Regions from separate parts of the Mus musculus genome. Here region 1 is reported to be linked to region 2. Evidence: microRNA targets listed by miRTarBase, many of them from high-throughput screens and not tested one by one. Region 2 holds a microRNA gene; the other region holds the end of a gene's coding sequence.

Region 1 (15,363 bases), not on the chromosome of region 2:
GAGTACACTGTAGCTGTCTTCAGACACTCCAGAAGAGGGCATCAGATCTTGTTACGGATGGTTGTGAGCCACCATGTGGTTGCTGGGATTTGAACTCAGGACCTTCGGAAGAGCAGTCGGTGCTCTTAACCACTGAGCCATCTCACCAGCCCCAAATTTTTGTTTGATTTTTTTTTGTTTGTTTGTTTGTTTGGTTTTTTGAGACAGGGTTTCTCTGTATAGCTCTGGCTGTCCTGGAACTCACTCTGTAGACCAGGCTGGCCTTGAACTCAGAAATCCGCCTGCCTCTGCCTCCCGAGTGCTGGGATTAAAGGTGTGCGCCACCACACCTGGCTTCATTAGACACAATCTTATTAGCGTATATTAACTTTATAAGACACGGGGTTTCAGCTGGGTGTAGTCTCGGAAAAAAAAAAAAAAAGACACGGGGTTTCTTGATGGTAATTACAACTATTTCTAAGTTTGGAAAAGGCAGGGAGCAGAGGTGTCATTGTGCTGTTGTTTTCTCAGAGATCCCGTTTCATGCTGAAGGCCGGCACCCCTGTTCTTTAATGGGTAAGAATTTCCGCTCCTACTTGCTAGATCTGCGAAATACTAGCACTCCTTTCAAGGGTGTTGGCAAGGCCCTCATTGATACTCTCCTGGATGGATATGAGACAGCCCGCTATGGGACAGGGGTAAGTTGAACTGTTGGTTTTCCCTTCAAGGAACTAATGGGATGAAATGCTTCAGACACAGCGATTGATTTTTCCTTTCTGTCTCCTAAGGTCTTTGGCCAGAGTGAGTACTTACGATATCAAGAGGCCTTGAGTGAGCTGGCCACTGTGTGAGTATGGTGGGGACCTGAAAGAAGGCTAGTTAGACATATATGTACCGTAAGGAGAAAAATCACAAGGTCTACACCAGACCAGGCTGTATCTAAACTAAATAAGTAAACAAAAGTATAGGAGAATACAGAAGAGCTACACTGTTCTCATAAAACTTGCCAGGATTAAATACAAAAGTGGATATTTTGCTCTATAAGCTAGCAAGAGAAACTTGAACTTTGTGAGCATATCTTGGGTTTTATTCTTGTTTTGGGTTTTATTTTTTTGTCTACCCCACTAAAATGTCAAATAAATCTTTAAAAAAAAAAAAAAAAAAGCCAGGCATTGGTGGCGCACGCCTTTAATCCCAGCACTCGGGAGGCAGACCGCAGGTGGATTTCTGAGTTCAAGGCCAGCCTGGTCTACAGAGTGAGTTCCAGAACAGCCAGGGCTACACAGAGAAACCCTGTCTCAAAAAAACAACAACAAAAAAATGGTATAGCTAGGAATGAGTTTTTTCAGCACTTAAGAATTCCTCTGTTCTAGGGTCCTCTTTGTGCTTTGGTCCAATAAAAATAAGATTTTTATTTTTATTTTTTTTAACCAAGTAATGCAATGTGAACCTGTCTTTAAAGAAAGAAAATAAGTAGAAAGTCAGTGTTTAAGCATTTGTTTAAAAAAGAATCTGACTGGTGAATGCTTTAAAGTAGTTTTATTATGCCACTTAGGCAAATTGTGAATGAACATGTATATTGAAAAAGGAAAGCCAATCTAGAGTTAGTTTCCAGGGTCTGAGGATATAATTCAATTGGTAGAATGTTTGCCAAACATGCACAAGCCCCGGCATTTGACACCAACTTGTGATGTCTTTAGGTTTCTGCAAATGTATTGTGCACATAAGCTTGCAGGCTCATACACACAAATAAGAAATCTTGAAAGAAGTTAGGCAGGAAACGTGTTAAAAATTCACTTGAGGGCTGGTGAGATGGCTCAGTGGGTAAGAGCACCCGACTGCTCTTCTGAAGGTCCGAAGTTCAAATCCCAGCAACCACATGGTGGCTCACAACCACCCATAATGAGATCTGATGCCCTTTTCTGGTGCGTCTGAAGACAGCTACAGTGTACTTACATATAATAAATAAATAAATAAATAAATAAATAAACAAACAAATAAACAAATCTTTTTAAAAAATTCACTTGAAATATAGATGCTGATTTCACTGTGATCTAAGTAGTTAGAGGAGGGGATATAGAATGATGGTTGCTGGGATGTAATCAATATAAACTTAAGTTTTGTAAAATGGAAAGCATTCTGAAGGCTAACTGTATAAAATCATGATTGTACTTAACTATCAGAGCATATACTTGAAAATAGCCAGGTGCACGCCTTTAATCCCAGCACTCGGGAAGCAGAGGCAGGCGGATTTCTGAGTTCGAGGCCAGCCTGGTCTACAGAGTGAGTTCCAGGACAGCCAGGGCTACACAGAGAAACTGTTTGGGAAACAAGGTTTATTGCTTTATATTTCATTAGATATTTTGTTACTTTGTTTTAATTTGGGTTGTTTTTTTTTTTTTTTAAAGGTTTACTTATTTTATGTATATGAGTACACTGTAGCTATCTTCAGACACACCAGAAGAGGACATCAGATATTACAGATGGTTGTGACCCACCATGTGGTTGCTGGGATTTGAACTCAGGACCTTTGGAAGAACAGTCAATGCTCTTATCCGCTGAGCCATCTCTCCAGCCCCCTAATTTGGGCTTTTTGAGATATGATCTTGTTCCCTATAATTCAAGACAATGATAATCCTCTTGCCTTTGCCATCTTGAGTTTTAGGATTATTGGTATATGCTACCATACCTGGCTATTTTTCTTTTTTTCAAATTCTCGTTTCGCCAGCCAGGCATTGGTGGCGCATGCCTGTAATCCCAGCACTCGGGAGGCAGAGGCAGGCGGATTTCTGAGTTCGAGGCCAGCCTGGTCTACAGAGTGAGCTCCAGGACAGCCAGGGCTATACAGAAAAACCCTGTCTCGACACCCCCCTCCCCAAAAAAAAAAAAGCTGGTGCCAGATATAATGGCCCACTTTCCTATAAGGCCAGCCTCACCTGCATAGTAAGACCCTTTCTGTCCCTTCTCTCTCTCCACATCCCAAGAAAGAAAGGATTAAAATTTGGATTCTCTGATAATATAAATTATCAAATTGTTTTACTAATGAGTTGTTTGGGCTTTGTGTTTTGTTTGTTTTGTTTTGTTTTGAGAGGTCGGGGAGGGGGGTCATTTTGTAATGCATTGAGTTGGGGCAGACTTGCTATGTAGACCAGACTGGCTTTGAATTTGTGACATCCTCTGCCCCCTGAATTACAGGTCTCTGCCACTATACCTTGCTTAGTAACTGGTAAAATAGATCAGATGATTTTTTGCTGCATTTATGGGGTGGAGTAATTTCTGAGTTGTATTTTGGGAATTTCTTGTTTTTAAGATGCATTTTTCACTAGTTTTAGTTAAGCATGTGTAAAGGTTCTGGCCTGAGCCGGGCGTGGTGGCGCACGCCTTTAATCCCAGCACTCAGGGGGCAGAGGCAGGATGATTTCTGAGTTCGAGGCCAGCCTGGTCTACAAAGTGAGTCCAGGACAGCCAGGACTATATACAGAGAAACCCTGTCTTGAAAAACCAAAATAAAAAAAAAAAAAAAGGTTCTGGCCTGGAGCTAGAATTACAGACACTTCATGTGGTTGCCAGGACTTGAACTCTGGTCCTCTGGAGGAGCGGTATATGTTATTAACCAAGGAGTCATCTCTCCAACCCCTTTTCTGCTAGTTCTCACTCTGTCCATGCCTGCTATATATTCTTCAGGGTCAAAGCACGAATTGGAAGTTCTCAGAGACAACACCAGTCAGCAGCCAAAGACCTAACTCAGTCACCTGAAATGTCACCAACAACAATCCAGGTCACATACCTGCCTTCCAGTCAGAAGAGCAAACGCCCTAAGCACTTCCTGGAACTGAAGAGCTTTAAGGACAACTATAACACACTGGAGAGCACTCTGTGATGGGGCTGCACACGTGCAGCCGTGCAGCACTCGGGATGTCTGGTTCAGCAGACCCAGGCTTTATTGGCCAAAGCATTCTTACAGAACAGTGTCTAAAAGGTCATTCCCAACCCTTTCTGATATTGGCTAAGACCTCAGTATCTCCCAGTAGCACTTCTTCTGGATTTGAATTCAAATGTCATTCTTAACATTTCTGTTGATGCTTCTTTGAAAATCTTCGCTTGATTTTGGCTGTAAATCACCTACCCTGTTAAATGCTGTTTAATCCCAAGGATGTAAGTTGAGGTGAGGTGTCTTCTCTGTCTGCCCCATTGCACTCAACTGAATAGAAATATTTGGGTTTAGAGCATCTCAAAAGTGGGTAGAATGTCCTTTGGGATTTTGTTGCTCCGTTTAAACCAGGTGTATTGTGACATGAACATGACTTTCCTAAAGTGGAAGGATCTGTCCCCACCTTCACCCAGTCCTTAGGACAAGTAGAAAGGGGCATTCTGGCACTTGGCATAACCTATGCCACGATGGTGAGATAATGTGAAAAAGTGGTATCCTCTGATGTCAGCGTATTAGTCTCAGTTTACAAAGTACTTAATAAAACTAACTACTGTAAAACCATGGATCATTTCTTTAGAGTGGTCTTTAGAGCAACAGGCATTTGATGTGTGCTTACATTTTCCTTACAGGACATAGGGTGTGGAGTGTCGCTTCCAGAAACTGATTGGATTGTGTGTCTGGATCTAAACTACTGATAGTCTGAAATTCCAACAGAAGAAATCCTAAAATAGGGACTGTGTGGCTCATGCTTATAGCCTGGCCTTGTCACTAATAGAAAGCTGGAGAATCAGGATTCCCTTCAGGTCACTAGGGCAACAGGCCCAAGTAACCAGTCAACTACCAGGACTAGGGTCATTGTTGGACGCCTAAATGTTGCTATGACTACTGAAACCTTGGTGACCAAACTAAACAGAAAGGAGAGCCTTCCCAGTGTCCCCAAACTTAGCAAGCATGTCTGTAGTAGATATGTCTGCAGAAAAAATGACAAAACTAGAAGAGGTATGGAGGGTCGGAAAGAGGGTTGGGAGTTGGTGGAGTTTTCTTTGATATGGTTCCAGGTTATTTTACCCAAAGTACACCATTCCCGAGAAAGACCCTTGGAAGCATAAGGGAGAGTTGGCAATATATGGGAAACTGCTTGTGGAACAGAGTGGCTGTTTGCATAAGTCCCTCTGGCTCCTGTATTTTCTCTTCAGTCTGATTTCAAGATGTGGAGCTTTCCCACTTGCCCCTATGAAGCTCACTACTTCATTCCTCAAAAAGTGGGTACTAGTGGTATGCTTCTAGCAATCCAGGAGATCAACAGAACTCCCTTCTCTTGCAGAATTTGCAAAGAGCTGTGGCACTTAAGAAGACTGTCGACAGGTAATCTGTTTTCATCTGCTCTCATCAGTTTGTATTTTCTGCTCTCCTCTCCCTGAGGCACCACCGAAATCTGCTCTCCGTGAGGACTCCTCAAGAAGGAAAACACAGAGCAGAGAGAAAAACAGGGAGAGGAGATGAGCCTTGTCTTTCTCTGCCCCTGCTTCCCATCCCCTGCAGAAACGGCACAAGTGTTTGTTGTTTTGCCTTTCTTTTTTTGAATGTTCTTGTGTTCCTCACCTGGCTTTGTACTAATTATACATCAGGTATTTCAACAGTTGGTGAACAAGTGACAGTCCCTGGCAGGTTGAACTGCAGATTTCACCTGCTAACATTGTGATGTTTGTGGCACTGGGGTATATTGAATCCAGGGCTTTGTGCATGGAAGCATTCTACCACCAGCTGTATCTCCAATCTTCCTCTTTTTTTTTTTTTTTTAAGTGCTGGCAGAAGCAGCACAGAGAGGCCCATACCTATAATCTCGGTGCTTGGATGAGCATGAATCTGAGGCCAGCCTAAACTAACTTGTGACTGATAGACTCTCAACCCCAAAGGGAGGCGCAGTTTGGTGGTATTTGTTCTTTAATTTCAACACTATGGGCAGAGACGGGGCTCTCTTGAGTTTGTGCCCAGACTGGTCCACATAATTCCAGAGAATCAGGACTATATAGTGAGAAGCCTTTTAAAGGAGGGCACAGATAGCTCACTTATAGACTGTTTGCCTAGCTTGCACAGGACTTGGATTTATTTTCCAACAGAGATGGGCATCAGAAGTTCTGGGTTAGCTACAATGTGAGTTGGAGCCCAGTTTGGGTACATAAAAATGTTTTTTGGGTTTTTTTTGTTTTTGTTTTTTTTTTAGTTGCTAGGCAGTGGTAGTGAATGACTTAAACACAGCACTCTGGGTGCAGAGGCAGGTGGTTCTAGGGCTACACAGTGAAACCCTGTCTGAAAATAAAGGGTGGGGTAGGGCAGGGGAGGGGGACAGTGATGTAAGACCCAGAACAAGGTGACACAAGTGAGTTTCTTTCTCTGTGTACTATAACAGCTGACCTGCATCTGACTCTATTCATGGTAAGAGTTCAGTAACAGTCCACACTAGATCCTAAGTCAGTTCAAAGCAGCGGATCCTTACTACTAACTTACCAGTTTAATTCCCACCCCTACATCTGGGACAGGTGGCGGAATTTTCATATTCACTGTATGTGGCAGACAACATTGGACCAACGGAGAAACCTATTTGCTGCCCTAAGGATGAAGGATACTAAGGAACAGGAATTAGCACTGTCTAACAAACAGCTACTAGTGGTGAGTTCTAGGAGGGCAGCCTGGAGTCTTCCCCTTTGCTGCTCTGTGTTCCTGCCAGCCAGGATATCAAATTCCTCTCTCTCTCTCTCTCTCTCTCTCTCTCTCTCTCTCTCTCTCTCTCTCTCTCTCTCGACTTAACCATATCATTTGCCTCTGAGATTCTTTTTCATTATTTTATCAGAACATTAACATCACATGTCAAAGTTCTTTTTCAGTAAGTGATTATTTTTACATTTTCATTATTTGCAGGTGAGATGCTCTTTTAGCTTTGGGTTATTAAAGCTTTGTTTTCTTGGGTTCTTTGGGTTGGGTTTAGTTTGAAACAGGATCTCACTTTGCAGCCGTAGCTGACCTGGAACTTGCTAAGTAGGCCAGGTTAGCCTCCCTGAACTCAGAGCTCCACCTGCCTCTTGTCTCCTGCATGCTGGGATTAAAATGCATCACTACATCTAGCCAGGGGTCTTATTTTATGTATTTATTTTTAAGACAAGGTCTGGCTCTGCATCACAGGATGGCCTGGAACTTGCAGACATCAAGCCTCGAATATACTGGAATTCTAGGCGTGTCTCCCCAACCCCCACCCCAGCTGCAAGTGACACATTTCCAATTCCCAGTGCATCATAGTCTTCACTGTTTTCATCCAGTGAGAGCCTAAGCCGATGTTTCTCCTCTTGGGGGACAGTTGTGATGTCACTCTTATTTTCTTGAGTACCTAGCAGATTTTCTAGTTCATGGTGCATTCTCAGCAAAATATTTGTTGAACAATGAGTCTCTGCCTAAGGGAAGGGAAATTAGGTAGGCTTCCCCTCCAGTGATTCACACTTTCTTCTACTGCCTCCTTTTATGTCCCAGCTAAGTCCAGGTGCAACAGAACACAGGGATGGGAAAGGCAACCAGAGTCTGAGAAGAGGTGTTGAAGAGCCGACACCAAACACTTTATTGCCTTCCCTACCAGGTCCGTCAAGCTGCCTTACACGAGCTGTTTGAAAAGGAGTATCAGCAGTACCAGCAGGAACTCAATCAGATGGGCAAAGCTTTTTATGAGGAAAGACTCTGACAGCTGCCAAGACACTGTTCTTCCACCTCGTCACGCCTGCTAAGCAAGCCTTCATGCTTTACCCTGAGCTTCCCAAAACACACCTGGACCTGGAACTTAAATCTTTTTCACTATTTTGTCAACCTAAATGTTGCCTCTGGACACAAGAGTGACACCTTGTGGTCAGTGTGGGATATGCACTGTGGCGGGAAGAGAGATTATGTACATTGTCTGGTTTTAAAAATCTGATTTGGTTTAACAAATAAAGCTAGCTCTTAAAGGTTCAGATTTGGGCTGGCAGGATGGCTCAGCAGGTAAGAGCACTGACTGCTTTTCCAAAGGTCCTGAGTTCAAATCCCAGCAACCACATGGTAGCTCACAACCACCCATAATGAAATCTGATGCCCTCTTCTAGTGTCTGAAGTCAGCTACAGTGTACTTACATATAATAATAAATAAATCTTTTTTTTAAAAAGTTCAGATTTAGGCCACAGGGCTTATTCTCAGCCTTGAGTCTTGATTTGTTCTTGGCTGCCATAATTTTACTTCCTAGATTGTGGGCACTGCCTCAGACTTCAGTTTCACTGATCTTTCCTAAATTCGTGGACAAAAACCATGTTTAATGTCTATTAATCTGTAGGCACTGTGGTGCTTGAGTGTCAGGAGGCCCCAGTTGTATGTTTAGAAGTCACCTCATTGTGAAACCATGGATTAGCCTGAATTCCCACTCCTACTTTACAAAACTGAAGCCTCCAAACTCTAATCCCTCTAGGCATTTGGCTTGCAGTGGAGCAAGTGTCAAGTATCAAGCAGTAGGTTTGAGGAGCTGGAAAGATCATGTCTATTCTCAAGGTGTTTGACACTGAAAATCCTGGAAAGTATACACCTGTAGGTCACAAAGATGCAAATGAGTAGCCTTGGCTGTCCTGAAACTCACTCTGTAGACCAGGCTGACCTCGAACTCAGAAATCTGCCTAACTCTGCCTCCCAAGTGCTGGGATTAAAGGCGTGCGCCACCACCCGGCAATGGCTAATATTTTAAATTTGGCTTCCATCGATAGTGCTGCTGTTCAGGCATGTGTGCCAAGGGATCTTTTCCTACCCTCAGTTTTGTGTGGCTGTCTCCACTGCAAAGTTCACATTCTCGTCCTTTTTCCTTCCAGCCTGTCTCTAGCCTGCATCCCTTACTAAAGCCTGTAATTTTCATTAGCTGTCGGGAGCTACTACTTCTTGTCCCTCCATATCCCACCCATGGAAAGCACAAGCTTTAGGGTCAGGTATAAGTTCACAGTATCAGAACATCGTTCCTCTTCTGGAAATGACAGACTCTCCTAGGATTTTCCTCGGGATTAAATAGGTAGAGAGCACAAGCCCAGTGATTGACCTAAAATACCCTCATTATATTTCTCTGTAACCCAGGGCCCTTTTCTGTGGTCCTGCAGTTAACGCACATCCAGTTAAATGTCATCTTTCTTCTTTTGATCACATTCCTTCCTCTTTGCCTTCAATGCCACTGCTTCCTAATCCCTTGTCATTCGTAGCTGGTCATGGATACTTTCATTAAATGAGTTGGAGCTACAGGCTGGTGGGGAAAGCAGGCTTTGAACAGGAGTTACAAGTGTAGCATGTGTTTTGTAGATGAAGCCACAAAATGCCACCTGGATTTTGATTGACAAGACTGACTGAATCCTTCTGTCTGTCCCTGCCCTGTGTTAGTCTGGTCTGTACCCTCTTAGCCTCTTTAATCTTCCTTCTGTCTCCTGGACCACCTGCTGATTACCAGATAGTATGGCCTAGAGTTAATAGAATGGACAGATCTGGTTTTCAGGGTTGGCCTTTTCGCTTAGTTTGGTCTAGTCCAATTTTTAATCTGAGAAGCGGGTAACTGGGGAAACGGCTCAGTGATTGGGAGCACTAGCTACTCTTGCAAAGAACCCAGATTCAATTCCTAACATCTATATGGTTACTCAACAGTTCCAGAGTATCCCTTTCCCGGCCTTGGCAGGGACCAGGCAAACGCATGGTACACAGACATGCAGATAAAACACCCATGCATATAAAACATTTTTAAATAATTTTAAGTCTGAGTTTTGGTTGCTAATTTATGAAATGAAAACAATTCCAACCTTACTGGGTTACTGTGGGAATTAAATAAGACACCTAGAAGAAATCACACATAATAAGTAATACAAACAGGAAGCCATAATGCTGTCTTCCTACTCCATGGTACTTTCTTCCCTAATTTCTACTCCCACTACACTTTATAACCAACCTCTTCAGTTCTCTCTTCCTTTGTTCATTTAGACTCACTGGATGCCCCATCCTGTCTGCCTGGATCTCTGACCTTGGCCTGTTGCCTCAGGGCTCATCAGTGCCAGGCCGACTCCTTTATTGGCAGGTTGGCTCACTACAGCGCTCATCTTCCCTGACCCTCCCTGCCAATACTGTGTGCACTCATCACATCGCTCAATTGTACCCCACCAGTCCATGCTGCTGCTGGAGCTGATGTCACACCCTGGCCTTGTGACTTGGGACTTAAACCTATTTGAAATAGCTGCCTAAAAACCACTGGCAGAGCTCTGTGAGATGGTGCAGTGGATAAAGACACTTCCTACTAGGCCCGATGACCTGAGTTAATCAACCCTCATAAAGGAGAGAACAGATTCCTGGAAATTGTCCTCTGACCTTCACATGGGCACCATGACACAACCACACAAAATATGAAAGTGTAATAAAAATAAAAGGAAAGATAAAGTACTTTCGTTGGTGTGGTGTTTCTTCTTAACTGCGCCACCCAGTCTTCCTAGAGAGCCGCACCTCCCACACCAATATGCCCAACCTTTCTCTGTTCCTATAGTACCCTAAACTTCAATTCTGTTTGGGTTTGTTTTTGAGTCAAGTTTTCTCTATGTAGTCATGGTTGTCCTAGAACTCACTATGTAGACCAGGCTGGCCTCAAACTCCAGAGCTGCTCTTGCCTCTGCCTTCCAAGTACTGCAGTTAAAGGTGTCTGCTACCCTCATTTGGGGAGTCTTCCATTCTTTCTAGTCTCCTTCCAGCCTCTCTTCCTCCTTTCTGTTTCCCATTATGGCCAAGGCTCTCAGGAGGGAAAAATAGAACTTGAGAGATGAGGGGTAACATCAGTAAGTGGAGGGCAAGAATATAAATATTTCATACACACACTCAGACTTTGGGAACTACAAAAGAGAAAAGACAAAATACCACAAGCACCTAACTTGGGGCTTAGTCACATTTATTAGTCTTTCCCTGGGAGGCAAGTGCCACATCCAATTAATTGGAATTGATTGGTTGTTGGGACATGTTATTGATCTAAGACAAAGTCACTGTGAAGTTGTGTGGGGGAGGGAGATGTCAGAATTAATGGGAGCAAGGACACATGGAACATGCCTGAGGACTGATAAAGAGTGTTTTCCCAGCCCCCGTGCAGCTATAACTTGGGCTCCTTTTTGCCACAGTGAGTGAAGCATCAGCCAAATGGCACTCAACAGACCCAATTCTCTCCAAGAGGGGGAAAAATAACCAGGTTGAATCCCTATGAAGGAAGAGCCTTGGAGAAGGCAGCCCCGGACCTCTGGTGACAGAAAGCTGTAGAAAGGAATGGGAGTCCTGAGGGTTGCAGGCTGCCTCCTGACAGAAGCAGTTCCCTCTTGCTCTTGATCTAAAAGCCTTAGTTTCAATTCAGCCAGGAAGGAGAAGCTGGGAGTCTGCTAGTCTGGAGCCCAGACTGAAGCCTGTGAGTGCAATAGCTTTTCTGTTCTGGACACCCAATGGTACCTTGAAGGAGGATGCCTTAAGGTCATGAGGAGGAAACAAGGACCCAGATGGTACAAGCACCAGCCCCACATTGCAAACATTTTCTGGAACTCCTGTTGACTTGAAGCTATGAAGTTGGAGTCCATTGAGAAGACTGAGCAGTCTCACAGGAGAAAAGAAATCTGGGAACGTTAGAAGTTTGGTTGGAAAGGAGAAAGTAGAGGAGATGCAAACCCCTAACCTTACCCCCCGGAAAGCCCTGGGCAGCTGAGGTGGCATCGAAAGGCAGGTGGCAAAGCTTCTGAGGCGCTGCTGACATGGTGATCCTCTGGAAGCTGGTGCTGTCACACAACAGGGAGGAGAAGAGTTGTGTGGGAGCTTCGGGAAACGGTAGGTGCCCGGATATGAAGCCCTGCCCAGTGTTCTTGAATTACAAAAACATGATCCAGCACACACTGAACACAGTAGAAGAGGGGTTGTGGTGGGGACGGCATGAAGGACAGATAACCAAGACCATATTTGGGGAGTGAAAGACCACAAGGGTCAGTGCCCTTGAAGATGGGTTTCCTCCTGTACATGGTGAGGCTCTGGTTCGTCTCCCTGACCTTTCTTCACAGAGAGGGGAGGGGCCGATGACGACCAGAGTTTGCCTGCCTGCTTCTGTGTGATATGTTTGATATTGGGTTGTTAAATTATGAACCAACTGAATGTCAAGCATACTCTCACAGCAGTAAGGAGACTTGGCACCACCTCCTTGGCTCCGTCAGCCCCTGGGGCTCTGAGACTCTTGTCTGCCTGACTTTCTGGTTTGTTTTCAAGACAGGGTTTTCCTACATAGCCCTGGTGGTCCTGGAGCTCACTATGTAGACAAGGCTGGCTTCAAACTCACAGAAGTCCTCCTGCCTCTGCCTCTGCCGCCTGAGCACTGGGACTAAAGGCACATGCCACCATACCCAGTGCTTGTTTTTTTTTGTTCCTTTTTTGTTTTTTTGTAAAATGTTGGTGATGGGACCCAACACCTCATATTCACTAAGCAAATACTCTACCACTGAGCTATAGACCCAGGTTATTACATTATTTTTTATTTTATATATATATATGTATATGTATATATATATATTTGCTGTCTTCAGACATACCAGAAGAGGGCATCAGATCCCACTACAGAGGATTGTGAGCCACCATGTGGTTGCAGGAATTGAACTCAGGACCGCTGGAAGAGAGCAGTCAGTGCTTTTAACCGCTCAGCCATCTCTCCAGCCCTATGATTTTTTAAAAAGATTTATTTATTTATTTATTTATTTATTTATTTATTTATTTATTTATATGTGAGTACACTGTAGCTGTCTTCAGACACTCCAAAAGAGAGCATCAGATCTCGTTACAGATGGTTGTGAGCCACCCTGTGGTTGTGGGATTTGAACTCAGGACCTTCAGAAGAGCAGTCGGTGCTCTTACCTGCTAAGCCATCTCACCAGCCCCATGATTTGTTTGTTTGTTGTTTTGTTTTTCTAGACAGGGTTTCTCTGTATAGTCCTGGCTGTCTTGGAACTCACTTTGTAGACCAGGCTGGTCTCGAACTCAGAAATCTGCCTGCCTCTGCTTCCCAAGTACTGGGATTAAAGGCATGCACCACCACTGCCCGGCTAAAAGTATCAGTTCTTTGTTGTTGTTGTTGTTGTTGTTGTTTGTTTGTTTTTTGTTTTTCAAGACAAGGTTTCTCTGTGTAGCCCTGGCTGTCCTGGAACTCACTCTGTAGACCAGGCTGGCCTCGAACTCAGAAATCCACCTGCCTCTGCCTCCCAAGTGCTGGGATTAAAGGCATGCACCACCGTGCCTGGCGATTCTTTTTCTAACTAAATTTCTCTCCACAACTCTCCTAAAAGAGATGTATATAGAGCCCATGTTAACCCGGAAGGCTCATGTGGAAGTGGGAGAGAGCTGAAATTTGAGGAGCAACTCTTCATATATCTTGCCCCCTATGGTAGAAAGGATGTATCTCTCCTCCTTGTCTTCTGCTCTTGTCTTTTTCTCCTCTCTATTGCCCTCTTCTCTATCAACCCATACATGTCCTTTCTCTGGTTCTCTCTTGTCCCCTTTTCCTGACTGGCCTCTCAATTGGGGGTGCTTGTTTTCTTTGCTTTCTTCCAACAGTTAGCTGGAAGTCTCTCCTCCCAGTCTGTTAGTATCAGTCTGTTCTTAACAGGGAGGCTCTCGAGAGGGAGCCGGCTCTGCCCCTGCCCCCACCCTGATGCTTGACTCCGGTCCCACACTGCTGTGGTTTAGCCTCAACACTAACTATCCTTGACATTATGAATTAATTAGAACCACTTCTACTTGCTCTGCTAGCTCCAGTCCGGTCACCTTGAACAGTGTCCACTCCTCTGGCATAGATGGGTATATGGCAACTGTGTATGGGATCAATTGCCACCTGTCAATAGCAAGATTCCAAGTGGAATTATGAGCATAGCTGGCACTACACTGGGGGAAGTAGAGCTGGTGGACACTATAATGGCATGGTGGACAGCGGGCTGGGGAGGGGGCCACAGAGGGAGCAGTTGAAGAGGAGTAGAGGAAAGCGACAGTCTTCAGTATGTCAGACCTTCTATTTTAAGGTCGCTATGAGAAAACGTGATCCTGTTCTGTGACCTCCTTGTTTCTCATCCCACTTGACACCCTGAGATACCCTTTCAGATCCCAGGCCTTCAACTTTATCCTATGGCCTTTACAGACTAATGTCTCCTTGCCTATTAGAGAATCCCAAAATAGCCCAGCAATCCCAACTGTCAATCTGGGGGAATTGTCAACGATCATGAGTGACCTCCCATCGTCACTGTTGACCACGCTCCTTAGATACCAGGAATCCAAAGACCAAACCAGTAGAGTTTGGTCCATATCCAATATAGTCCAAGGGGAGAATGAGAGATCTGAAGGCTACTAGGACCCCTCTGGTGGCGAGAACTGCTAAAGTACCCTTCTGTGCTTCAGTGTTCCCCCCTCTTCTGTTCCTCTACTTTTGAGGGACCCACAGAGCTGCCAAGAACGAGTGGAAAGTTTCAAGGTCAGGGAGAACCTCCCCCACCCCCACTTTCCATTGTCTAAAATCAGCCTCAGCTGTTCCTCAATTTTTTTTTTCTTGCTGGTGATGTCAGTCTATCAATGTGTCTGACCCTGTGTTCCCCCAGGGGAACAGTGAAGGGATGGGAGGGAGCTAGAAAGACCATGTTAGGAAGAAGAGGTGGAGCCGCAAGCACAGATAAAGGTTCAAACCTGGGGAACTTTGAGTGACCCGGGTGGCAGCCCTTCCTCTCTGGCCCCAGCCTCCAGTTCTCCAGTGTTCACAGGTGAGCCCACCAACGGTCACAGCTCATGATGGAGGCCATCAAGAAAAAGATGCAGATGCTGAAGTTAGACAAAGAGAATGTTCTGGACCGAGCTGAGCAAGCTGAAGCTGAGCAGAAACAGGCAGAAGAAAGAAGCAAGCAGGTAGGTGCTGGTATGGACCTTTCCCACTTGCTGGTTGCAAGACAGAGATGGTCCAGGCAATGGTGGCACACACCCCTGTAATCCCAGCACTCAGGAGGCTGAGTTTCAAGGCAGCCAGAGGGGCAGGGGGTTCATGGGAGAGGCAGTGACCACTGGGCCAGCTTCTTTTTTGGGTGGGAGGAATGCCCCAGTCTCAATGAAGCCCCTCCCCCTGAACATCTAGGGCAGCAGTTCTCAACCTGAGAGTTGAGACCCCTTTGGGTCATTAACCCTTTCACAGGGGTTGCCTAAGACCATCAGAAAACACAGATACTTACATTATGATTTAAACAGTAGCAAAATTAACAGTTATGAAATAGCAATGAAAATAATTTTATGCGTGGGGGTCTCCACCACATGAGGAACTGTATGAAAAGGTCTCAGCACTAGAAAGGCTGAGCACCATTGCTTTAGGGTAGCCCCTTTGCACTGTCATGTGACCTTGAGA
Region 2 (15,363 bases):
TGGGGCATGCCCGGGTTTGTTTTTCTTTGTTCTCAGCCCCAGGCAGCTTCTAGGCTCACAAACAACCAGCAATTTCTGGGTACTTTATATGACTTACAGATCTTGAAATTTCATCTTTCTTTCAGTTTCAGTGGCAGAGCCTCTTAAGGTCACATGGTCTTTGGCATAACCTCCATGATGGCCCACAGATGGCCCATAGTGAATACTTGTTGAGATGCAAAGGGCAGATGAGCCTGTGAAAAGATACTTGGTGTTGAAAGTCATTTAAAACTGTCCATCCAATCCAATGGGAGGTAGGACTTCACACCCAACTGGCAGTGTACAGCAACACTGCAAGAAACAGCAAGAATCAAATGTTGGTGTGGCTGTGGAGAAACCAGAATCCTCATTCATTGCTGGTGGGAATCCAAAGTGGGACAACTACTCTGAAAGCGCCTGAACATGTCTTCAGAGTGCTAAACTTCAGTTTATACACAGCTCAGCAGTTCTTGGTATATACTCAAGAGAAATGAAAATATACATTCCATATTATTTATTATCTTTAGTAGTAAAAAGGTAGCGTCGAGGCCAGTGTCTGTCAGCAGAAAAGCATGTGGCACATCCATCGTAGCCTGCAATCCGGCACTAGAAAGGAATGAAGTCTGCGGGAGTCAGCACGTGCTGCCTGCGGTCCATGCTGGTCCCAGGGAATGCATTTAGTTATAAGACATTGAGGGTGTGCGGTTACTGATAGTCAAGAGGAAGATGAGGAAACTGGTCTACGTTGAGATGGTGGTGCCTGTGCATCTGTGAGTTTACAAAGGTCCTTAGCCAGACACCTGATGACATCCTCCCACGGTGCCATTGCGTCCAGGGACCTCCTTGAGGTCACTTTCCTGACTATGCCTGTCTCTGCTCACATTTGGTCATCTGTGTCTCTGTTCTCTGTCTTCCTTGCTCATCTTGAATCCCAGTCTTCCAAGTGCTACAGCTTAGTTCATAAACCAGTGTGTTGCTGTTTTTTCATTTCTTGGCATTCTCCTGCCAATTATTTTTAATTCTTTGATGTCATCTTTAACATGAACACATTTTTTTTTTAATTTTCTGCTTTTTCTCCATCATGTCAAAAAAAAGCATTCTGGTGTAGTAGAGAAAGTGTTGATTGAGGTTGTCTCTACAAGGTCTTGTGGGCTGGGAGTGTAGCTCAGTGGACAGTGCCTGACCAGAATGCACAAGGTCTGGGTTCAACACCTAGTATTCCTTCACTGTTTGGTCTTGCCTAGATTTTTAAAGTATTTATCATCATCATCGCTATTATTATTGTGTGTATGTGAGTGTGTGTGTACGTGTGTATGCACATACCTGCCATAACATGTATGTGTGGTCAGACTGTAGACTTGGTTCTCTCCTTCTCTTATCATACAGGGATCAAACTTAGGTCACTGAGCTGCCAACACAAGTGCTTTTACCTGCTGAGCCTCTTGCCTGGCTCCTGGCCTGCAGTTGTGATCCCGTGTGTTATCTATGTAAAGAGGACTGTACCTGCTACCCAGTGGATACCAGTCTTCAGCACCGTCACACAGGCAAACAGAAGCATTGAGTGTGTGGTGTTGCATTCATTAGTGTCCCCATTCTACTTGAGTTGAGTTGTGAGTCCCAGGAAAAAGCATTCTCTGTCACACGTTTCCCAAATCCTATGCTTGATTGTTGAGAGACAAGGGTCTCGTGTATGAGTTGCCCTCTCTGGCTCCACTTCTGTTAGAGGAGGGTTTGGTGACTTCTTTTCCAAGAGGCTTTATACTTAACAGGTAGAGACAGAAGAACTGACTGCTCCTGCCGTTTTTCAGACATGTTCAAGTACTTAGTATCTCTGGTGTCAGAGACCCGCTGAGGGATGTCATGAAAAACAGCCCTGTCCGCGCAAGAACAAGATGAATGTGTGACAGGGCAAGCCTCCTGGAGGCTACAGTACTTTCCTAATGACCCCACTCTGACCCTTAGAGTCTGTTCTTAATATGTCTGTCTGTGTGACTTACATGTAACATGTAAAGTTTAAACCGCATCATAAAAAACAAGATTTTGGGCCAGAAATAAGCTAAGAGACCTCGCTGCTCAGAGGTCTAGATTGGTCCCCAGAAGCCATGTTGGTGGCTGTAGCTCCAGCATTTGCAAATCTGCTGCCTTCCTCCGGTTTCTGCCCACACTTGCACGTATGCACCAACCATACATAGGCACACATATATATGTATACCAAGAAACTAAAGTCAGAGCCAGTTATGGTGGTTGGCCTCACTGTGTAGGCCAAACTGGCCTCGAACTCAGATGTCCATCTGACTGTCTCCCAAAAGCTGGAGTCAAGGTAGCCACCACCACACCCAGCTTACTACAGTATTTTTAAGTCTATTCTGTAAACCAGTAGGGCTTATTCACAAAAGCTCCTCATAGCTCAGCCTCGAGAGGTTACCCCCTGGTGTTTCCTGTATTAAAGAAATAATTCTAAAGGCATTTTCAATGCAAGGCTACCTAATGTGGACTTTTTCAAAGGTAAAGAGAGTATTAACAAATTGAAAATAAAAAATCCCTTTCCCTTTTTGGTGAAAATGACATAGATACAAGCCATTTCTGTCGGCACATCCTGGTAATGCCAACCATCATCAAAGTCCAGACCAAGGCAGGCACGAGCCCTAACTGATATGCTCATAGCCTGTGAAGAGTCTTCTCAAAGAGAGTCATTGTCCAGTGGCTTGGTTGTCTCAGTGGAAGAGCCAAGAGAGAACAACGGGAGGTTTGGAGAACTTGAATTTGAAGAACTAGATTGATGGTTGTCTTAGTCAGGGTTTCTATTCCTGCACAAACATCATGACCAAGAAGCAAGTTGGGGAGGAAAGGGTTTATTCGGCTTACACTTCCATACTGCTGTTCATCACCAAGGAAGTCAGGACTGGAACTCAAGCAGGTCAGGAAGCAGGAGCTGATGCAGAGGCCATGGAGGGATGTTCTTTACTGGCTTGCCTCCCCTGGCTTGCTCAGCCTGCTCTCTTATAGAACCAAGACTACCAGCCCAGAGATGGTCCCACCCACAAGGGGCCTTTCCCCCTTGATCACTAATTGAGAAAATGCCTTACAGTTGGATCTCATGGAGGCATTTCCTCAACTGAAGCTCCTTTCTCTGTGATAACTCCAGCTGTGTCAAGTTGACACAAAACTGGCCAGTACAATTGACCCCTTGTCAACTTGACACACAAAAACATCACTAGTAAGCCTCAACCCTTACAATCTTATTCATCCCCATTCTAAATAACTTTAAAAGTCCCACAGTCTTTACATATTCTTAAAATTTCAATCTCTTTAAAATATCCATCTCTTTTAAAATCCAAAGTCTTTTTACAATTAAAACTCTCTTAACTGTGGGCTACACTAAAAAAGTTTCTTCCTTCAAGAGGGAAAATATCAGGGCACAGTCACAATCAAAAGCAAAAGTCAATCTCCAACCGTCCAATGTCTGGGATCCAACTCATGATCTTCTGGGCTCCTCCAAGGGCTTGGGTCACTTCTCCAGCCAGGCCCTTTGTAGCACATGCATCATCCTCTAGGCTCCAGATGCCTGTACTCCACTGCTGCTGCTGCTCTTGGTGATCATCTCATGGTACTGGCATCTCCAAAACACTGCATGACCCCTTCAGTCCTGGGCCTTCAATTGCAACTGAGGCTGCACCTTCACCAGTGGCCTTCCATGGCCTCTCACAGTGCCAAGCCTCAGCTGCTTTGCGTGACCCCTTCATGCCTTCAAAACCAGTACCACCTGGGTGACCCTTACATATTACCAAGTCCTGCTGCAGCAAGAGTACAACCTTGGCCATCTCTGGAACACAGCCTCTTTGTGCTTTCAGAAAACACTTCCCAGAAGATGTCACCTCAATGATGCTGGTCTCTTCTTAATCACCGCTAATTTCTTAGCTCCAGCTAACCAGCATCAATAGTACCAGTAATACAAAGTTTTTGCTTTGGTAGTTCTGGTATCTTGTTAATCACAGCTGATTCTTCAGCCCCAGCTAACCAGAACTACAGAATCTTCACATTCAAAACAGCAATGGCCCTGAAAAGAGTCTTTAATTTTCCCTCTGAAATTTCACAAACCAGACCTCCATCTTCTGCACTGTTCTCAACATTATCTTCCAAGCTCCTACACAACATCCGACAGAGCTCTTAACAACGGATGGATCTTTAAGCCCAAAGTTCCAAAGTCCTTCCACAGTCCTCCCCAAAACATGGTCAGGTTGTCACAGGAATACCCCACTCCTGGTACCAATTTGTCTTAGTCAGGGTTTCTATTCCTGCACAAACATCATGACCAAGAAGCAAGTTGGGGAGGAAAGGGTTTATTCAGCTTACACTTCCATACTGCTGTTCATCACCAAGGAAGTCAGGACTGGAACTCAAGCAGGTCAGGAAGCAGGAGCTGATGCAGAGGCCATGGAGGGATGTTCTTTACTGGCTTGCCTCCCCTGGCTTGCTCAGCCTGCTCTCTTATAGAACCAAGACTACCAGCCCAGAGATGGTCCCACCCACAAGGGGCCTTTCCCCCTTGATCACTAATTGAGAAAATGCCTTACAGTTGGATCTCATGGAGGCATTTCCTCAACTGAAGCTCCTTTCTCTGTGATAACTCCAGCTGTGTCAAGTTGACACAAAACTGGCCAGTACAATGGTCGATCCCCTGCCTGCTGTATTCAAAACTCTCCCTCCCACTTCTCCCGGAGCATAACAGTGGCAGGTGTAAGCTAAAGCTCTTGGAGTCCAGAGCACTTTGCGGACCTGCTGAGAAATGCCCAGGGACACAGTGCCAGGAAGAAGGCAGAGGCTGGAATAACCGGAAGAGTGTGTTCGCAGGCACTCAGAGCACAGTGACTGCCCAGCACAGTGCTGCTTGGTAATGGCTCTGCCCTGCACAGTGCTGCTTGGTAATGGCTCTGCCCTGCACAGTGCTGCTTGGTAATGGCCCTGCCCCACTTACTGTTTATGGCTGCCTTGGAGAACAGGTTTAGCAGTCAGTGCTTTCATTTGTTTCCTTCTCCTTGTTGGTTTGTTTTTCTGTCTATTAGTGAAGGCCGCCGATATTTGTTTCAGGGTTGTTGTTGTTGTAATAAGATATGGATCCAGGCTGGCCTGGAACTAGCGGTATAACTGATTGACCTTGAGCTTCGGGGATTCTCCTGTCTCTCCCTTCTGAGTGCAAGCATTGTAGATGTGCACTACCAAAGCTGCCTTATGGCGTTCTGGGGGGTGGGACCCTGGCCTTCATGCATGGCAAGCAGACACCACCAATTAGGATAATGGCCTTCAAACAGTTTTGCCTCACAATTTGTTAGTGTATAATTTGCCTGACAAAAGCCAGTATTGAGCTGGAGAGATGGTTTAGTGGTTAAAAGGGCTTACTGTTCTTGCAGAGGTCCTGGGTTTCGTTCCTAGCACCCACATGGTGGCTCATAACGGTGTATAACTCAGGATTCCGAGGATCTGACATCTTTTCAGCCTGTGGGGCCACTGCACAGACACATTTAGGCAGAATTCTCACCTTACTATATGAGTATTCTGCCTAAATGTGGTGTACGGATACATTTAGGCAGAGCACTCGTACAGTAAGGTGAGAATCAGGAAATCTGTAATAAAAACAGGGGGTTCTGATCTTACTCAGAGCACTGTGGCTCCCACGTTAGCCTTCTCTGTGTGTATTCTTCAGGCCCAATTATGAATGCTACAGTTTATTTTAAAATTCAGCTGTGAGTCTTGTCTCCAGTTGAGAATAATTTTCCATCCTCTGTGCCATGGTAGGTGTTTTAATTCACCATAAAACCCACCATAGATTATTTTCTTGTTTTAAATTATTTTGGTGAAAAAGAGGGGTAATATATTTCTGCTATTTAGCAAATCCCTCAAGGAATGATTAAGGTTGAACTTGGGCTAATTTAGAGGTCGCACTGGCTCTTGGGGCCATACCTTTAAGCATACACACCCCGTAGGATCTTCAAGTGGTTTCTCGCATGAGAAGGAGAGATCACATTCTTCACACAGGTAACTTTTACAGGTGAGTGGCCTTTGTTTCCCCAGTGTGTATGACAGTCTGCAGGCCAGATATCTCAAAGCCCTTTCACTGAGTGTGGAGATCCAGGTTGACATGGCAGTAGTCATTTTGTTCTTAGCTGTTGTCTTGTGCACTGGGTAATACAGGCAGGCATTCTAAACCCCATAGGAGAAATAACCAGAGCATTACCTAACGGGTTCTTGTTGTGCTACAAGTTGGTTTTGTTTTTTGTTTTGTTTTGTTTTGTTTTGTTTTGTTTTGTTTAAGGCTGTGTCTATTCAGGTTGACAGCAGGTCACCCTTGTCTAGCTTAGCTCATGAAACCATTCTCCTGCCTCCTTGGCTGCCAGCTCTTGCCCCAAGGACTGGAAAGCCACCTTCTCCATAGTGCTGAATTTATTCACCTGTCTTCAGTTTGAAGCATCTTCTACATTGTATGCTCCCCTCCACACTGCGCTAACTGAAACAAGGCATCTACAGGGTCTCTCTCCCTCTGAGGTTCTAGAAACAATCGGTTCCTTGACTCTGCTGCATGCAGTGGTTAACAGCATTCCTGGGCTTGTGGTCACATAGTTCTGATTTTTGCCTGTGGCCACCCCTCCTAAAGGTGCAGGCGATAATCTCCCTGCTCTTGGGCTTAACCTGTGTCACTGTCACTCAAGAAAGCTCACTTTGCAGTTAATCAGATCGGAAATTAAATACTGGTTACTTGACTAAGTTGTTTGAAAATACACCGATGTGTGCCCATCTCGGAGAGGCTTGGGGAACATCAAGAGCTACAGTGTGGTGCCAGTGCTATTTCTTGGCTTCCATCTTCCTTTCTTGATGTCAGAGTCTTATTTCAGTCATGCTATCAAGGTCTAGACCCAATTGCTGCCTGGGTGCCTTTCTGTCCTCTGGAGGCACTGAACATGCAGCTGGAGACAGCTTAGTTGCAGTGGCCCACTCAGAAATATCCTGTGTGTGAATGCTGAGTCCACAATGCTGTGGTTCCTGTGCAAAAGAAATATGCTGTAGGGAGTGAGGAGGGGACGCTGGGGAAGAACTGTTGATCCCAAGGGAATAGCTGGGTACAGGCATAATAAGCGTGTGAGGGTCTGCACTCACTTGCACTCTCACCTGCACACTCACTTGCACTCTCACCTTCACACTCACTTGCACACTCACTTGCACTCTCACCTTCACACTCACTTGCACACTCACTTGCACTCTCACCTTCGCACTCACTTGCACTCTCACCTGCACACTCACCTGCACACTCACCTGCACACTCACCTGCACACTCACCTGCACACATGCCTCATGAAAGTTTTTGTCACAGAGTTGGTGTCTTACGTGTGGTATGATTCCCCCATGGGAGCTTTGTCACATTGTCTTAAGGTCCCCATCCGCACAGGGTACATAATTTAAGCACAAGAGGAATGCCTAAGTGAAAAGTCTCTTTGTGGCTTCCTCCCAGTGTTCACTGAGGGGTTGAAGGACACAGCTTGAGTCCTTCTGACAACAAAATGGTGTGTCACGTGAGGGCAGTTATCTGTCAGGTGAATATTTGTGAACGAACCATTGAGCCCACAGACTTCCTGAGTCACAGGCTGTCCTGCAGATCACCCCTGGCTCATCCTAGCCTCAGTGACCCCTAGGGCTTCTGGGCTTCTGCAGACCTCTTCTAGGACCCTCCCCATCGTCCCTGCCTAGCTGCCATGTAGGGAATAGAGTTGGGAGGCAGGAGACACAGCAAACAGCAGGCACAGAAGAGAAGGGCTGGATAAGAAGGCACAGCCTTGCCACTGTAGGGGGGAGGGGGTAGTGGATGGGGTGCCTTAGTCCCGCAGAGCAAGGAAGGACTGTGCAGGGGTGCCACCCACAGAGCAGGCTGTGTGCTCTCCCCGGTACTGAAAGGCTCTTGATGCCTATTTAATGAGTCTGGACCTTTTCTGACTCTTTGATGCTTTTTGAAAGTTCTTATCAAGTTCTTATAGCCTGAAGTTAGCAAACATAGAAAGAAATTTTTAATGGAAAGAAAAATCAGATGTCCAGTGGTTCCCTCTATACCTGGGCATATGTTCCAAGACCCTCTGTGACCACTGACACCAGAGAAAGCTGAATGCTAGATCTACATTTTTCCTCTGCATACTTACTCAGGCCATAATTTAATGTACACATTAGGCAAAGAACAAAAGTAAACCAGAAAAGAGTCAGCCATGCTCTGTTGTGAAAATGGCAGTAATGTGGCACTGCTGAACCCAAATAGCTCTATTCGTCCCAGCGGTGGCTGCAGTACTCCTTGCACTAACATTCTGGGTTCTCGAATGAAAGACACACACACACACTTTATATTTTAATATGCCTTAAACAGCTCAATGGCTGGGCCACTTCAGACCTCCACATGGCTGCCATACTCCCCCCGCCCCTCATATTCCTGAGTTATTTCTTACTAAAAGCTATATTCCATCTTGGCTGTCCCGGACCCAGACCTGCAGCTCCCTTGGTCTGAGTTCCCCAGCACCTACATGACGACTGTGTTCTCTGCCCAGCACACCTCAGGCAAGGCCTCTGCTCCTTTCCCCAGCATGGCGGCTCTCCTTTTCCTGCTCTTTCTCAGTCCCTTGTCCAGGAGTCCTAAAGTCCCACCTCTGTCTCCCTGCCCAGCCCTTGGCCACTGGCAACTTTATTTACCAATCAAAACCAACCAGCATCTTCCATGAGAATGTGCAGATTCTCATGCAATTTTGGGGACCAGATTAACATAATACATGCAGCATTAGACCAAACCCACAACAATGCGGTCTCTTGTACCTCTCAAAGTATCTTCCTATACTGTATTCTGGTTTTAGACAGCAGTTGACCACAGGCCACTGGGACCACAGAAAGTGGAACAGCAGATTTGGGGAGGGGAGTGATAGGTTATCTCTCGAGCTGCTCCTGGGTAGGCAAGTTCACTGGCCCCAAGGAAGGAAGCCAGGAGCAAGTTGTCATGAGGGTAAGGGTAGAAAGAGAGAAAGGGCAGGAGAGCTGAGAAGAGAAGGAAGAAGAGAGAGGGAGGGAGGGAGGGAGGGAGGGAGGGAGGGAGGGAGGGAGGGAGGGAGGGAGGGGAGAAAGAGAGAGAGAGAGAGAGAGAGAGAAAGAGAAAGAGAAAGAGAGAGAGAATATGAATTTGAGCAAGCACGAACAAGTGTCTGGATTATGTAGGGAAGAACCTCTGGGGCAAGGGCAGCCCAGCCTCTGGACTGGAAAATTCAAGGTTGGGAGCAGGGTGTGGCAGTTAAGGACTGCGGCTGATGAGAGAACTGGTGGCCAGATCTTCTTTGATATATAAAATATTCACTTCCATCCCTTGTCCTGGGTCCAGAATAAAGCAGGGAGAGCTCTACACGCAGAAATGAGTAAAACTGGCATCTGGGGGTGGTAGGTTCTGCACCGTAGCGGGCAGATGTGCGCATTGCAGATGGAGTCTGGAGCCTCAGAGAGTTCTGAGTGTTGAGATGAGACCAAATGACCAGAAGCAAATGAATGCCAGTGTTCAGTTAAAATCCAGCCATCCATTGTCCAGTTGAACAGAGGGACCAGATAGGGCAAGGCTTACTGGTAGTGGCTTTGATGGTTATTCTTTTTGACCACAACTAAATATTCACCAGAAGACAGAATATGGTCCTGTGCCTATTGAATGTGCTTGGTTACAAAGAGCTAGATTGGTGGACAGTTATAATACAGCGAAGTCTATATAGATGCATGTAGAGAGACTAGTATGGGGAAAGATGGGGTGAGCTGGGCCCTTATTGGAAACGTCACTGTCTAAGCCGGGCTTTGAGATGTATACCTGCAGTCTCAGCTACTTGGGAAGGACAGCTGGAGTCAGGATCATGGGATTGAAGCCAATATGGACCACACAGTGGGACTGCCTTAGTTAGGTTTTCTATTGCTGTGAAGAGACACCATGACTGTGGCTACTCTTATAAAATAAAACATTTGATTGGGGCTGGCTTACAGTTGAGAGTCCTTTGTCATCATGGCAGGAAGCATGATGGAATGCAGGCAGACATGGTGCTGGACCCACAGGCAGCAGGCAGAGACAGCCACTGGGCCTGGCTTGAGCTTCTGAAACCTCAAAGCCCACCCCCTAGCGTCACACTTTCTCCAACAAGGCCACACCTCCAATAATGCCACTCTCTGTGAGTCTAAGGGGGTCATTTTCATTCAAACCACCACAGGGACCCTGTATCACAAAACAAAAAAAAAGAAAGAAAAGAAAGAGAGACTGATGGGCTGCCTGGAGGACTAAGGCACTTGCACCCAAGCCTGCAAACCTGAGTTCAATCCCTAGGGACCTCATGGTGGGAGGTGAAAAGCAACTTCCAAGATTGTCCTGACCTCCACAAGTGTGCTGGCTGTGTCATGTATGTGCACACACATAAAATAAGTAGAAACCAGTTTTTAAAAAGGAGTTAATGTGCTAAGGTTAATCTCGCATCAAGCAAAGTGGCATGTTTTGTTAGCAGCCCTTGAACACCTTTCCTGTATGGCTTGCTGGGTCTGTTGAAAATCAGGGCTCAGGAAAAAGCTGGTTGTGATTTATGATGCTGATGCCAGGTCATAGCCAGTCACCCTGCTTTTCTTTTTCTCTTTAGTGTCAAATCAACAGTGCCTTGACTTCCTTCCACACTGCTCTGGAGCTGGCTGTGGACCAGAGGGAGATCCAGCACGTCTGTCTGTATGAAATTGGTAACTATGAGAATCGCGCATGTCTGTCTGTGTGAAATCAGTAACTATAGGAATCTAGCCTGTCTGTCTGTGTGAAGTCGGTAACCAGGAAAATTGAGCATGTCTGTCTGTGTGAAGTCGGTAACCAGGAGAGTCCAGCATGTCTGTCTGTGTGAAGTCGGTAACTAGGAGAGTCCAGCATGTCTGTCTGTGTGAAATCTGTAACTATAGGAATCCAGCCTGTCTGTCTGTGTGAAGTCGGTAACCAGGAAAATTGAGCATGTCTGTCTGTGTGAAGTCAGTAACTAGGAGAACCCAGCATGTCTGTCTGTGTGAAGTCGGTAACTAGGAGAACCCAGCATGTCTGTCTGTGTGAAGTCGGTAACTAGGAGAACCCAGCATGTCTGTCTGTGTGAAGTCAGTAACTAGGAGAACCCAGCATGTCTGTCTGTGTGAAGTCGGTAACTAGGAGAGTCCAGCATGTCTGTCTGTGTGAAGTCGGTAACTAGGAGAACCCAGCATGTCTGTCTGGGTGAAGTCGGTAACTAGAAGAGTCCAGCCTGTCTGTCTGTGGGAAATCTGTAACCAGGAGAACCCAGCATGTCTGTCTGGGTGAAGTCAGTAACTAGGAGAGTCCAGCATGTCTGTCTGGGTGAAGTCAGTAATCTGCCGTCTCTTGTGCTTAAGCGGGTGTTGTAGAAAATTTTAATTCTGACCCAGAGTTTCTACCCTGCTTTTGACCCTTTGGTTCCTAGATACACAGCCTGTATATTTACAGTAAGCCTTAAACAGCACAAGAGCTGGGCAGCAGCTTCCCATCCATGGTGTTAGAATCTACTTTCCTATCGATAACCCTGAGTTAACTTACTACTTGCTGTGTTTCATCTGGGCAGCTCCTAACTCCAGTTGGCCACCTAACCCATGGCAGCTTCTCCTTCCTCCTCCTGCACTTTCTTCTCCTCATGGTCCTCCTTCAACCCCAAACCTGTGAAACCTAAACCCCATCTGTCTCTTCTGCCTGGCTATTGGCTGTTGGCATCTTTATTTCCCAATCAGAAGTAACTTGGGGGCAGGGTCACTTAGCTATGTGCAAGGAGTCTTCAGGGCCCGATATTAGCATTAGAATACAAGCACCTCTGGCAGTCTGTTACCAGGGGGCATCTTCTCTGCTGCCCTCCTTGTCCTCTGGGAAGACACTGCTCTGTATACTGAGGATCCAGTCACTCTAGCACATGCACTAAGGCTTGTCTCTCGGGACTCGCTTTTCCTCGCTACCAATTTTGATTTGGGGACAACAGACAGTATGGGGTGGATTACTCTAGTACATGTTAAAATTCAAGGCTCAAGGCTCTCGAAAAGTAGTGCCTAGGAGGAAGCTGGAGCCTAGGTCTTCCAGTCTGTTTCCAGACCTTCTGAGCCACTGATGGCCAGTGGAGGGACTGTGTGTTCTACTTAGACTTTTTTTCTTTTTTGTCAACTTGCCCCAAGCCACCACCGTGATCTGGGAAGAAGGGACATAAATAGATGCCTTCATCCGATTGGCTGTGGGCAAGTCTGTGGTGGCATTTTCTTGGTTAATGATTGATGTAGGTAGGTCTGGCCCATTGTAGGCAAGCCAATAAGAGTGTTCCTCCATGGCCTCTATTCCAGTTCCTGTCTACAGGTTCCTGCCCTGGTTATCCTCAGTGGTGGACTATGATGGGGATCTATAAACCAAATAAATACTTTCCTCCCCAAGTTTTGAGATCGTACATGTAGACCACACCTAAAAATACACAACATCAACACACAGACCCTGAAGAACAGGCCCCAGCCTTCCAGCCATTCCTATTACAGCACAGTTAGAGACTGTGGGTTTGGGGTTTCAAAAGCTCACCTGTGTGTAAAAACAGGGAGAGACTTGGTACTTAAGAATGGTGCCCAGACAGAACTTAGCATATCTGTTCTTCCAGGAAGACCAGGGTACACCATCCCTAAGTCACGTGCTTTTCTGGTAACATAATCCTCATATAATTTTAACCAAGTTGTTTTGGTCATTGTTGTGTCCCAGGAACAGAAGGCAAACTAAGGCACAGTGCCAGCAGGTCACATCTAGGTGGGACCAGGTCGTTGGCAAGTAGAAGGTCCTTCTTGGTCAGCTTTGTGTCTTACAGGGACATGGACACAGGAGAGTGTCTGCCTAAGATCCCCTCCGTCTCCCAGGTTGTTATGAGAGCTTCTCTGGCTGCCTGCCTATGCTCTGCTCTGACCCTGGCACTTGAGAGATTTCAGAATCCTTTATGTAACCACCCCTCCATTTGCTGGGAAGAGCAAATACAACTTTGGGCTTGGAATATAAACAGAATGCTGGACTTTGGCCCAGTGTGTCGGAGATGAGAAATGAAGAGTAGACAAAGGAGAAAGGATGATGGGTTGGTGGGACCCAGTGAGAGTTGTGTTCACAGCACTCCACAGGTGACAGGGAAGAGAAGCAGAGGACACCTGTCACCTGTCAGACAGTCCCTCGCTCCCTATCACTCGCCTCACCTCCTGCAGACACACATGTTTAAGGAAAGCACAAGGGAAAAGATGGGGAATCACCCAGCAAGCGATGGCCGCTGTGTGTGATACCTGTTACGGCTCAGTGAGAGGATAGTGTATAACTGAACAGAGAAATGTGTTTCTGTATATATTCTAAATGCTGCTGGGGGGGGGGGGCGGAGCTGTGTGGTGGCTGTGCTGTTGAGCAAGGTTTCAAAGGACTGGAATTTCAGAGCCTAGGTTGGACAGTGTTTTCTACTCTGCCACTTCAAGGTGAGTGGACAGAACAAACTAGGAGCCCATAGGCCTAGGATTCAATGATTGAAGAAAGCACACAGAGTCAGGAGTTAAGTGTGTCCATGATTGAGGAGGCAGACTCTCGGGTAAGGCGACCTGGCCACTGCCTTGATTAGCAGTTACCATCTGCTTCTGTTTTCAAATGAATTCAAGTCTTGCACTGATGTCTCTTACACAGTTAGTATGTTACCCCACAGTCTCAGCCTAAAATGTGTCAAGGCTGTGTCTTGTAGAATCAGACTGTCTCTTTCCTGAGGGCATACCCCCACCTCTACTAGTTCAGGTGACAAGTCTGAGGTGACACAACTTCTTAGTGACATGCCTGACAATGTTCTTTTGTCCATGTGGTGGGGTGGTGTTTGTTATCCGTCTGTCTGTTCTGGTTTCTGACCCTGCAATCTGCCTCAGCCTCAAAGGTCCTGCGATTCCAAGCCTGGCTCATAAGTCTCCTTTTATAGAGGCAGTATTCTATGGAAGAAAGAGTGATGGACCCCCACCACAGTTGCTCCTGCTGTGGACGTGAGGAAGTCCTCACCCTGTTGATTTCCCCTTTCTAGCACTAGGGTATGGGGAGGCTAGGTGTGAGGACCAGCAAGTGCTCCAGCACGGGCTGCCATGCGTGCACACACTGGGGCTCAAGTGACTAGGAACAAGCCTCTGCAGCCTACAGAATACAGGCGGGTTGGGGTGGAGGGATGGGTCTGTCTGTCCTCTCACACCATACAGAGCACATGATGATGGTTTCTCACTCCTGTGAGTGCTGTTCAGAGGCAGGTGCAAGTGTCTAGTCAGACCAAGTCGTGTCTACACTGCCCTCCTGCCCCTGCTGTCCCTGCTGTCCCTCCTGCCCCTGCTGTCCCTCCTGCCCCTGCTGCCCCTCCTGCCCCTCCTGCCCCTGCTGCCCCTCCTGCCCCTGCTGTCCCTGCTGTCCCTCCTGCCCCTGCTGTCCCTCCTGCCCCTGCTGCCCCTCCTGCCCCTCCTGCCCCTGCTGCCCCTCCTGCCCCTGCTGTCCCTGCTGTCCCTCCTGCCCCTGCTGTCCCTGCTGCCCCTGCTGCCCCTGCTGTCCCTCCTGCCCCTGTTGCCCCTGCTGCCCCTGCTGCCCCTGCTGCCCTCCTGCCCCTGCTGTCCCTCCTGCCCCTCCTGCCCCTGCTGTCCCTCCTGCCCCTGTTGCCCCTGCTGCCCCTGCTGTCCCTGCTGTCCCTCCTGCCCCTGTTGCCCCTGCTGCCCCTGCTGTCCCTGCTGTCCCTCCTGCCCCTGCTGTCCCTGCTGCCCTTGCCGTCCCTCCTGCCCCTGTTGCCCCTCCTGTTCCTCCTGTCCCTCCTGCCCCTGCTGTCCCTCCTGCCCCTCCTGCCCCTCCTGTCCCTCCTGCCCCTCCTGTCCCTCCTCCCCCTGCTGCCCCTCCTGTCCCTGCTTTCCCTTCTGTCCTTGCTGCCCCTCCTGCCTCTCCTGCCCCTGCTGTCCCTCCTGTCCCTCCTGTCCCTCCTGCCCCTCCTGCCCCTGCTGTCTCTCCTGCCCCTGCTGTCCCTCCTGCCCCTCCTGTCCCTCCTGTCCCTCCTGCCCCTGCTGCCCCTCCTGTCCCTCCTGCCCCTCCTGTCTCTGCTGTCTCTCCTGTCCCTGCTATCTCTCCTGCCCCTCCTGTCTCTGCTTCACCTATACTGCTCTTACAGGGTCAGGAAGTGAATTGGTTGTCTCTCTAGAAATCACATCTTCCTTTCATTGTTCTCCATGGGTTGTCTTTGAGTCAACACTGAAAGTATTTACAGGGAACAGTAATTCCTTCAAAAGTGC

The links. Region 2 holds the annotated microRNA mmu-miR-1948-3p (UUUAGGCAGAGCACUCGUACAG, at 5,598-5,619, shown strand). A microRNA usually pairs through its seed, bases 2 to 8, with sites in the 3' UTR of a target mRNA and lowers its output. Matches are read on the target gene's strand: a 7mer-m8 pairs with bases 2 to 8, a 7mer-A1 pairs with bases 2 to 7 and ends in A, and an 8mer does both.
Region 1: the mRNA of 1700094D03Rik is a reported target of mmu-miR-1948-3p. Seed matches in the 3' UTR shown: 7mer-m8 at 8,588-8,594 and 8mer at 10,172-10,179.

Annotation. Positions count from the first base shown.
Region 1 is chr3:90,057,975-90,073,337 of GRCm38, forward strand. It overlaps 1700094D03Rik (RIKEN cDNA 1700094D03 gene), which reads left to right and starts at 4,834. Exons shown (of 4, transcript NM_028567.2): 1 at 4,834-4,909; 2 at 5,235-5,275; 3 at 6,451-6,580; 4 at 7,536-10,373. The coding sequence starts at 4,877. The coding sequence ends at 7,637. It overlaps 4933434E20Rik (RIKEN cDNA 4933434E20 gene), which reads left to right. Exons shown (of 7, transcript NM_025762.3): 5 at 511-677; 6 at 768-826; 7 at 3,664-5,367. The coding sequence ends at 3,859. It overlaps Tpm3 (tropomyosin 3, gamma), which reads left to right and starts at 14,677. Exons shown (of 10, transcript NM_001293748.1): 1 at 14,677-14,876. The coding sequence starts at 14,760. Mir190b (microRNA 190b) reads left to right here and starts at 12,046; the gene lies at 12,046-12,125.
Region 2 is chr18:12,709,265-12,724,627 of GRCm38, forward strand. It overlaps Mir1948 (microRNA 1948), which reads left to right and starts at 5,547; the gene lies at 5,547-5,631. Ttc39c (tetratricopeptide repeat domain 39C) reads left to right here. Exons shown (of 14, transcript NM_028341.4): 7 at 10,686-10,779.